Bombyx mori: one gene and its partners. The main gene of each other region encodes a partner of the protein of the gene in region 2 in a complex. Links are inferred from orthologs where the notes say so. Each region holds a gene or a part of one and is shown on either strand. Other genes may lie near its edges.

Region 1 (3,763 bases), on a different chromosome or scaffold from region 2:
CATCATAGGTAGGAAAAAAAAAAAAAAAAAACTGCGCTGTATCTTTTTTGAGAAAATAGTTTTTTTCAATGCCAGCTCATTAACAGGGCACGTAAATATCAAAAACGCAAATGCTGCCACACACCTAAACAAAAGTTCTAAGTCTGAAGTCTGATATTAGGAGACCTCGGGGCTGATGATGATATTGATTGTTGCATCATTTGATTTGACTACAGCAAGCATTATATTCTTTAGGCCACTATGACTGCTCTTTCACCCATCAGGGATAGTAAAAAAAATGGACACACACTTGCTTTATTAGGAGGTGCAAATCTAATCAAGTCAAATCACTAAGCTTATGGTAAAAATAATCTTCTCATAAAATTTATTTCCATACAGACATCAAACATTATTTTTCACAATATTATTTAAAACATAAAATGGTCAAAAATTCACTATTGATAAAATAAATTCACATTATTTGTTTCAGAATACCCTGTCGTATTAAAGTCTGACATTCCGAAGTAGGAAGATAATGTCTGCTATTCTTCTTAAGCATAACCACATCACCATCTTCAAGTTCTAATTTACCATAATCCACAACACAAAGCACTTCGATGAACAATGATTTAGGGGGCTTTAAATTTTCAGTCAAGTCTATGCCACTGTATCCTATATCTTGGCCTAAAGATCTCATATACAAAGCAAGATTTCCAGAGTATTTTGAAAACCATTGATATTCATCATCAGAAAGCAATTCTCTGATATCTGGAGGTAGTACTGCACCAAATTCCCAACGTAATGTCTTAATTTTTTTCATTCTGTTGTAGAGATAGGCTAATATACACCTTTTATTGCGTTCAAGGGCAGAATGTCTTACTTGAACTGTGGTCCACAATGATCTGTTTTCTGTTGTAGCATTACTAAAAATAGTAATTCAATTAATACAAGCGGTAATCATAAAACAGTTTGTTGTTATCTTCTTCTTCTATAAATGAACTTGATGAGCAATTGAACTACATATTTTTGAAATTTAAATTAAAATGGACTAATAGCAGGTAACCTTATTACAACACCACATGAGACTCAAGTGCATGAAAATATTAACCCCTTTGCACTAAATGACGTTTTCGTTTGTGCGGACCAGCAACTCAGACCGATTTTGGCCAAATTAGAGAAACATTTTAAAAGTACTTTAAGATCAACAAACAAACACACATTTCTCTATTTTTTTTATATACCAAAAACAATAATTAGTACTATTATTAAAAAACAACTACACTGTAAAAAAACTCAATAAGCTGAGCTAAGATTTGGTTAGAAATTGAAGCCAAGCCTGTCCACTAAAGTATTTTTAAGCAGATACATAACCGTAGTGCTGTAACAAATCTGCTGGGTGAGATATCTGTGCTACTCAAGCACAACCAGTAAAGCTATCAAATCTGCTGGGCAAGTTATCCAAACTGCTTGAATGTGAAGAGTTATAAAACAAAAAAGTCATAAAACTTTTTTTTGCATAATTGGGTGAGAGATCTCAGGGCTACCTCAAATCCCATGAAGCTAGCATAACCCCTCGAGGTTAGTAGCAATAGATTGACAAAAAAAAACAAAAATAGACCTTCCTGGAGTTACAAGGTTACCTGAGCACTTTTGCATCACATGAAACAGAATAGGAGGTTACAGAATAGAAGTGATCATAGCAAATCTTGCATATTGAACAATAACTACTTGCAGTTATATTAGTAGAAAACCAGTGACTTACGCATCATTCATGTTCAATTTAAATAATAAATGCATTTCTTCTATTATTTGGCGTATTTTTTCATCCTGTAACATGTGAAATACTATGTACTTTATAAGATTAAAAGACACAAAAATAATAATAGGCGGTGCTATAACAATAATTTAATATACTTGTCACTTCTAAATGGATTTCTGACTTTATAGTGCATATGCATAGACAAACAGAATAGATGACAACCGGATAAAATCTTGGTTTCGGTATTAAATAGTAACTTAAAGCTTTCATTAGATATAACAAGTTTATTCTAATTCCAATCCCATACCTAGATGGGCACATCCAACTTACATTATATTGATCTATTGTGTCAGGATTTCTATCTACTTCTTTAATTAGTTCTATAACTTTTTCTGCGAACATTGTGTGTTACTTATTTACTTAACAATGAGAGAGATAACAAACAAAATACTTTAATAATTTAGATAAAAACATTTTTGGCATTGGCGCGAAAGTTGTTATTAATTTGATGAGTGACAGCTCAAGACTGTGACAGATAGTAAATTTGACATTTTATGATCGGATACGCATCATTTTTGGATGAGTTCGAAAATCACAGAAGCCTTGATCTTTAAATCTATAATACCAAAACCTAATCTTAAGATATTAAAATTTTCTAGAAGTGGGAGCTAAGTCATACAAGTAACTTTTTACAGATAATCACTTAGTAGCAATACAGCCAATAATAATCTCACTCTCCTTATCGGGTCGACCATCAGATCCAATTACTCTTGCAAAGACGCTTTCAACTTTAACATTAGGAGCAGACTTAGGGACCCTGATAACCGTACTCGTCGAACTCAACAAAGTGTTCGACGTGCAAACTAACCTCCCGGTGCCACCTCTGGGACATGATGATTTCATCATTCCCGCTGAATTGCGCCTCCTTATCAAGCGGATAAAGAGGCGCAAGGCATTGTGTGAGGACGGTATTCTCACCCTTGCATTTTTCCACTTTCTAGAATCAGTCGTGTCTTTTAAGACACGGCTGTTTAATTACATTCTGTCTACAGGATATTTCCCGGGAATTTAGAAGGACAGAAGACAGCCCTCCAATTATCGTCCGATTACCCTGTTGTCGTATGTGGGCAAGTTGTTCGAGCGGCTGCTGGTGAGAAGAGTGTCTCCGCACATCCTTCTCAGACCCGAGCAATTCTGGATACGTAGCAGTCACTCAACAACGCTGCAATTGGTCTGCGTTATGCACCTTTTGACGGTCCAACGCACGCCAGTACATGGCGGCAGTATTTCTCGATTTCGAGAAGGCCTTCAACCGTGTCTGGCGTGCGGGGCTTATCTGCAAGTTGGTGCAGAACACGGACTTCCAGCACGCCTACGTGCGACTACTGGGGTCGTACCTGGAGGGCAGAACTCTTTTTGTCGCGGTCAAGAGCGCTAAATCGTGGATGCGCCCAGCCACAGCTGGGGTTCCCCAAGGAGGTATCCTGTCACCGATCCTCTACGCTCTCTACACCAACGACATTCCCAATGTCGTTACGTTGTGTTAACACACAGAAATAATAAGCAGTAACATATCTATGACGGCGTTAACGTTACTTCTGTTATACAGCACGTGCAATAGGAGTGAGTCATACACAAGCCAGGTGCGCCGGCCGTGTCACTCCACTCGTAAAACAGCACGTGCAACAGGAGTGACTCATAGATAAGCCAGGTGCCCCGGCCGACTGCGTTTGCTCGGTGCACTTACTATATCCTTGTTACATTGTGTGATTAAGTGACTGTTTTACGTACTGGTTAAGGTTGGATAAATGTTAAAGTGAATTAAGTTATCATATTGTTGATTAAATCAGGAATCAAAAAGTGACTTCGTTTTACTGGGTGTTCAACAAGATAATATCCCCCGCCCTAACCCCCCCCCCCCCTCCCCCTCCCACATAATACGCAATGGAATTGTTCAATGAGTAACGTATGTTCGTCTGCTTTTTGTGGCCACAATACCAAACAATTACAACTTCTAGTTTTGTT
Region 2 (2,666 bases):
GAGCAGTTGTTCACTGATTGAAATATGCTGAGTTAGGAAATTTAATATATTTAATGAGTAGAGTAGTTAGTGACAGTGTAATTAATATACAAGACCTCACATGTTTACGTAGTCCAAACTAATTTCGTCAATATAACCTAAAATTTTCACTGGTGGTAGGACCTCTTATGAGTCCGCCCGGGTAGGTACCACCACCCCGCCTATTTCTGCTGTGAAGCAGTAATGCGTTTCGCATTGAAGGGTGGGGCAGCCGTTGTAACTATACTGAGACCTTAGAACTTATATATCTAGGTGGGTGGCGGATTTACGTTGTAGATGTCTATGGGCTCTAGTAACCACCACTTAACACCAGGTGGGCTGTGAGCTCGTTCACACATCTAAGCATGAAAAAAAAAAAAAAGTGGTAAAACGTGGAGACATCGATTGCATTTTCTGATCAGTTTTAAATAACATATTTTTTATGATTTTGTAGTGCTTACAGCTCTTTCGTCCTTTTTTATTTCTCTATCATATTCTAATAATTTTCAGCGCCTTTTTTAAATTTACCCTTATTTAGGAGATTTTAAGGGACACTTATTACACACAGAGACGGTTCTCCTTACCTCTACCCTCCATGCGTAAGACAAATGCGAATTATTTTAAATAAATCCGTGCGGTTGTACAGTCGTTCATTAACTACTTTGCCTTTGAGTGTTAATAACATTTCGTATCTAGTTCGTTGCCTTTATAATTGAAGTGGCTTGATTCAAAATACTTTAATTTTTTGGCTAACTCCAAAAATGTAATTAAAGAATTATTATAATATTTTAGTTTTTCAAATTTAATACCATAAGGTATGCAGCTTTTGATTTAAAAGAGACGGAAAGAGTACGTTTTTCCTTTTCTGGACTAAAACTGTATTTTATAAACTTTAAGGCTTCGTCAAACAGAACGCGTAATTAGCGCGCGTCAGAGCGCTAAACTAACGCCGCGCTATGACGCCGAGATGTGTTGTACTACGATGGTAACATACCGTCAAACAGAGCCCCAGCGCTATAAGTACGCAGCGCTCTGTCGCGGCGTTAGGGCTGTTTGACAGTATATTACCATAGTAGTACATCTCGTCGATAGTAACACATCTCGGCGTCATAGCGCGCCGTCAGTTTAGCGCTCTGACGCGCGTTAATTACGCGTTCTGTTTGACGAAGCCTTAAAGAATACATGTTTACATAAGTCTTTCGCGGTATACGTAAAAATTTTTAGTTAGACCACTTCAGTTCTAACGTTGCGACATACGAAAGGTGCAGTTTGGGTGCCGCTGTAGATTTTTTGTGGTAATTTCCACAGAGTTCCACACTTGTATTTCACGTACTTATTACATTCTATAAACACAAAACGTTCAACTGGGAGACACGAGGACAAAGATTCAGCTGTACACGCACCGGAATGCACGACTGGTTTAGTGATTACGTATGACTAGAGTAGTATGAATATACTAGATATTTTGTAGTCACGCTGGTGTAAAAATACGTACAATCACAGTCTGTCCGTTGTGACTTTAATCATGGTTTAAACATTACTAGAGGTCCCGCAGTAGTCGAAATTCGACTATAATTAATTGGAATTGCAAGTTTGTACACTATTATGATTGTATTCTATACTTCTATAATCACAAATTTCGCCAAGACCACACTATAAAAAATATTAACAAAGACAATTAATATTTAATCTGTTCTCAATTTGACAACAGACGTCAAGAACAAAAGTTTGACAATAAATAGTATGCATGCGTGTGTGCGTCAAATACAAATGTAATGTTTTCTTTATTGATTTAATGTATCTTTTATGCATTATTTAAAACAAAATTAGCATTGTGCACTTCTTCTCTATATTCTCTATAAGTGTGGAAAATTTCATACTCTTCCGTCCGCGCAAGTTTCGTAAAAAGGGATACAAAGTTTTTGCTTCACGTATTAATATATAGATTAATATTGATGTAATTAAAAGTTAAAATCTATCGGGATTTCGTCACAAAAACGAATCTATGTAGGTAGAGAATGGTGCGCGGTGTGACCTGTCTCATGGCTCGCATGACGCTGTACTTCTGCGTGTCGACGAAGCTCTCCAGCATGGTGCGGATGGCCACGTTCACGTCCTCCTCGCTGACCTGGCTCCGTAGGTGCATGCGGGCGTGAGCCTCGCACATGCGGATCACTGAGACACACACACATTACACATTTTAAATCTATATATATAAAAATGAATTGCTGTTCGTTAGTTTTTTTTTATTGTTTAGATGGGTGGACGAGCTCACAGCCCACCTGGTGTTAAGCGGTTACTGGAGCCCATAGACATCCACAACGTAAATGCGCCACGAAAAAGACCTAACAGCTCAAGGGCAGCTGCTTCGAGAATGCATTTACTGCCGGATCGGAATCACGACCCACTAAGAAGGTCCGGCGGAAAACTTAATGGGGTCTGTTTATGGGTTAGGTGCGGTGACCCCCCTAGGTCTAAGACCTAGGCCGCACTACGGTTTTTTCCCGGGAGCGGTTAACCGTTGTAACCGTGAAACCGCTTAAGACGCACACACTACAATTATTACCCGCGAATTCGCCCGCGATTTTCACAGTTTGAAGATGGACAAATTTCAAAAGAGCAGTGTTCCTCTGGTACTAAGAAATAGA
Region 3 (3,763 bases), on a different chromosome or scaffold from region 2:
CATCTTTTATCATTTTCTGAAATGCAATGCTAGATATCTGATGAGAGTTTCAAAAATAGCAGAGTCAATTAAAGCTCGAATTGCTGTTAGCTGCAAAATGTTGCTGTTCGTTGAAAATATTTAGTATACTCCAATGATTCAAGAATTAGGGTTAATTAATAGTCAACACTAAAGCATCAATACAGTGAGGTCTAAAATTACAAAACCATCACTGTAACACCCCAAGAGTTTGATAAAAATGCCAATCACTTATAATGTGAAATGTTTTCATTCACTTGGTAAACATTTTTTTGTATTAGATGGTTTTAATTGATGTTAAAAGATAACCAGAACAAAGTGATTATGATCCGCATACAACTTGAGGTAAAAGTATTGGTTAATTCCAGTATTCTAATCCTGCAAGGACTATTCTTCAAAGAAAATGTGTATTAACAAAAAAACCATGTAGTAAAAATATATAACTAAGTATATTTTACATAATTAATAATGGTAGGGTGTAGGGTAAGCCCATATACCCACAAGAGAAGCTATCATCATCCCGTCTATATTTTCCATGTGGCAGCACTCTAGTATTCATATTATAATGTCTATATGCTCTGGTAATCACTTAATCCAGGTGCATGAACGCAGCTCATTCACCCTTGTAAGCAATAAAAAAACTTAATCAGAAGTTTCTTAACTTACAACACTCGAGTTTAATTATATTTTAGAATGATATGTTCATGTTCAGTCATGTACGAGTTGCTGTAATGAATGAAGTGTAGTTAATACAATTGTGTTATAATTATAATAGAACCAACAAAATTTTTAACTTTCGTACTTACTATGTATATTAACACATTACTATAGTTACGAAACTAATGTTCAGATGGTTATGTAATAAAAAATATACAAGTATAATAGTTGATTGAACGTTTTTGTACTTTATCACTTACATTGAGGATTTCCCTGATTCTCGGTTCATGTTCAGTTCTAGCAAATTGAACATGATCTGTAATGTAGTCCATGTCACCTTTACCAGTTAGATAGGCTTGTTTTAGATCATCCTTCTCTTCTTGTGAACCTATGGGAATAATACTAATAATTTCAGTATTAGATAATCAGTACAATTAGTGGAGTAAAAAAATATTTGCTTGTTCATATAATTATTATAGGTTGGTGAGGCTAGATCCAATAGTCACCCTGACCTATATTGATCTACTGTGACTACTCCAAAGGTTTAAATGTCTTCTAAAGTATGTCTATAAAATATACTGCCCAAATTCAGCAATAGCTGAATAGCTTTTCTTCTGCTGATTATCATGTGTTGTATACATGTGTTGATAAGTTGTTTCTGCCTCCCCAAAATAGCTGTAGACTGCATTAGTAGGGAATTTTAGGTTGCAACGAAACAATACAAGAGTTTAAGTTCATGGCATCGAAGTTAGTTGTTGATTTCTGGTTGTTATGGCTCTATGAGGTACATTAAATAAAATAAATCTATTTAAGCATTTTGTAGTCAAGAGCTCACCAGTATATTCTTTTTCATAAGCTTTTATGTCTTCTTCTGTAATTTTTTTGAATAAATGCCTCCAGTAGACTGTCCAGTCTTTGTCTACTAAGACATTAAAGTCATCATCATCAACACTCTTTGTTTCATCGTAAACTGCTCGTTTGTTTTTGTCGCTAAGTATTTCATGAATACTTCCAAGTACTTTGAACTTTTCTGTTGCCTCTAGTTTTTGATCTTCACTAACTCGATCAGGATGTACCTTTAGCGATAGTTTGTGGTAGGCCTTTTTCACTAAAATATGAAACATGGTTAAATACACAATACAAAATAGATTTGTAAGCAGTGTGAAGATTTTACGAAATTTAGTATGAATGACTTTTTTGTTGCTTTCTTACCTTCTTTTTCGCTAGCAGTTTCGGGTATTTGTAATACTTCATATAAATTTGATGAATTAAAATACTTTTCACATAAATCCAAGAGACCCATTTTGTGATTTTTTTATAATACAGTTATTAGCCCAAATAACCACGATTTCTTAAAGTTATAAGTTATTAGTATATATAGTGTAGTTGAAATATTATTCTTTCCTTGCTCGGAAGTATCAGGATCTTAGAAATTGTACATTGGTTAAAAAGTGTAACGAATATACTCCGAAATTGCGTTACCATACGTTCTGTTTCAGTTAATGACAAAATCAAAATAATGCGCGCGCGATTATTTTTTTAAGGGATTTTTTGACCTGGTAACTAAGATCTTTAAGTCATGTCTTATTTTAATTTATAATCTTATTTTTATGAAAAATGATAATATGGAGTGAAATTAAATGAAATTATATGAGATGAGATGCAATGGGATGAAATATAATCTTGGTAAAATGGTGGTCATTTACGGAGATTTTTTCAGTGGACTTTCGGAGGATCCTGAGAAGTTACGTCCAGCGGCTTTGTTTCATTTTCCCACATTTATGCACTTTCACAGATATTAAACATTTAATAAACCACCGTTATACGGTACACATTTAAACCTGAAGAAACACTAAATAGACAAAATAAAACAAATCACACAACTTCACTCCTCGCGTTCCCGCCAAAAAGTTTTTTGGTATCTAAGCTCATACAGCCTTATCTGTTCTTTATAATTTCTGAAATAAATTTTCAAAAAGACCGAGGCCAGGTCTTTTAGGTATATTATATCCAAATATACAGCAAGTTATATACAGACACTTATTATAAACAACTTACGGTTACTATTTATATACAAATCAAGACTAATGTACAAATATAAACAATTTTTACATTAAAATATTTTTTGTTGCAAAAAATTTACGTACATATCCTTCTCGCCAAGTCTCCCCGCCAAAAAGTCCTGCGTGCGCGATCTTAAATCTTATTCACAGACTACATAGTATAGAAACACAGATTAATATATTCGTTACTGCGTAGCATAGACATACTACGTAAGACTCCGTAAGATGCCCTACCTACAAGTGAACCTAGACCCAGATAAACTCAGACCTAGTACTTAACTGATGAGGATGACTGGTACATTAGGCCGGTTTCTTTCCAATGCCGAGGGCCTGACAAGGCAATGTACTGTCACGACATTGAAATGGTGCCGGTCGATCCGATTTAAGTGTCAACCGAGCGCGGATTAGTCTCGGTGCTACGCACGGGAGGTGTGGGCCAGATGATTTGCTCATCTTTCGGGTACCTAGTTCCCTCGCTTAAGGTGGCCGCGGGGCTTTTGTCAAGAGTGTCACTGCTATGGATCGCTATGGATGCGATCCGAAAAAGATAAAAAGATGCAAACAAATGGCTTAAAGTTATAAAATGTACGGTTTGCAAAATACCCTACTCTAAAATAATAGTTGAGTACTAGAATTTGAGGGTTATGAATTCGCATGGGTAGGTACCGCGCCCTACCTATTTCTGCCGTGAAGCAGTAATGCGTTTCGGTTTGAAGGGTAGGGCAGGGCAACCGTTGTACTATAAAAACTGAGGCTTTAGAACTCCTATCTCAAGTTGGTGGTGGCATTTACTTTGTATATGTCAATGGGCTCCGTTAACCACTTAATATCAGGTGGACCATGAGCTCGTCCACCCAAGAAAGCAATAAAAAAAGATAGTCAAAGTCGCAATCCGGAGATCATCAGGATAATGGACACGAATACTACTTAAAAACAAATCTCAAATGCCAAAATTGAAAATTCTTTGGTGTCATAAAATATTTGTTATGCCTTACAGCGTGAAATTCGTCACCAAACGTTTTACA

What was found. Proteins that work in one complex are often made in the same cells at the same time.
Region 1: DNA replication licensing factor Mcm2 (region 2) and DNA replication complex GINS protein PSF1 share a complex: the UniProt entries of both Homo sapiens proteins name them as parts of the CMG helicase complex. The link is inferred for Bombyx mori from reciprocal best matches to the Homo sapiens genes MCM2 and GINS1.
Region 3: the proteins of DNA replication licensing factor Mcm2 (region 2) and DnaJ-10 are in contact, whole or in part, in a crystal structure (PDB 7CJ0), measured with the Homo sapiens proteins. The link is inferred for Bombyx mori from reciprocal best matches to the Homo sapiens genes MCM2 and DNAJC9. Residues at the interface, in NP_004517.2 of Homo sapiens: Glu65, Glu66, Glu67, Asp68, Glu104; in NP_056005.1 of Homo sapiens: Lys185, Arg189, Arg192, Lys244.

What each region holds. Positions count from the first base shown.
Region 1 is NC_085118.1:17,161,220-17,164,982, forward strand, and holds DNA replication complex GINS protein PSF1, read right to left. Parts: upstream 2,271-3,763; 5' UTR 2,141-2,270; coding exon 2,069-2,140; intron 1,807-2,068; coding exon 1,742-1,806; intron 903-1,741; coding exon 452-902; 3' UTR 336-451; downstream 1-335. UniProt on the Homo sapiens protein: Required for correct functioning of the GINS complex, a complex that plays an essential role in the initiation of DNA replication, and progression of DNA replication forks.
Region 2 is NC_085113.1:10,851,520-10,854,185, reverse strand, and holds part of DNA replication licensing factor Mcm2, read right to left. Parts: intron 2,194-2,666; coding exon 2,054-2,193; intron 1-2,053. UniProt on the Homo sapiens protein: Acts as a component of the MCM2-7 complex (MCM complex) which is the replicative helicase essential for 'once per cell cycle' DNA replication initiation and elongation in eukaryotic cells.
Region 3 is NC_085115.1:6,238,747-6,242,509, forward strand, and holds the start of DnaJ-10 (dnaJ (Hsp40) homolog 10), read right to left. Parts: upstream 2,210-3,763; 5' UTR 1,979-2,209; coding exon 1,888-1,978; intron 1,784-1,887; coding exon 1,511-1,783; intron 1,064-1,510; coding exon 936-1,063; intron 17-935; coding exon 1-16.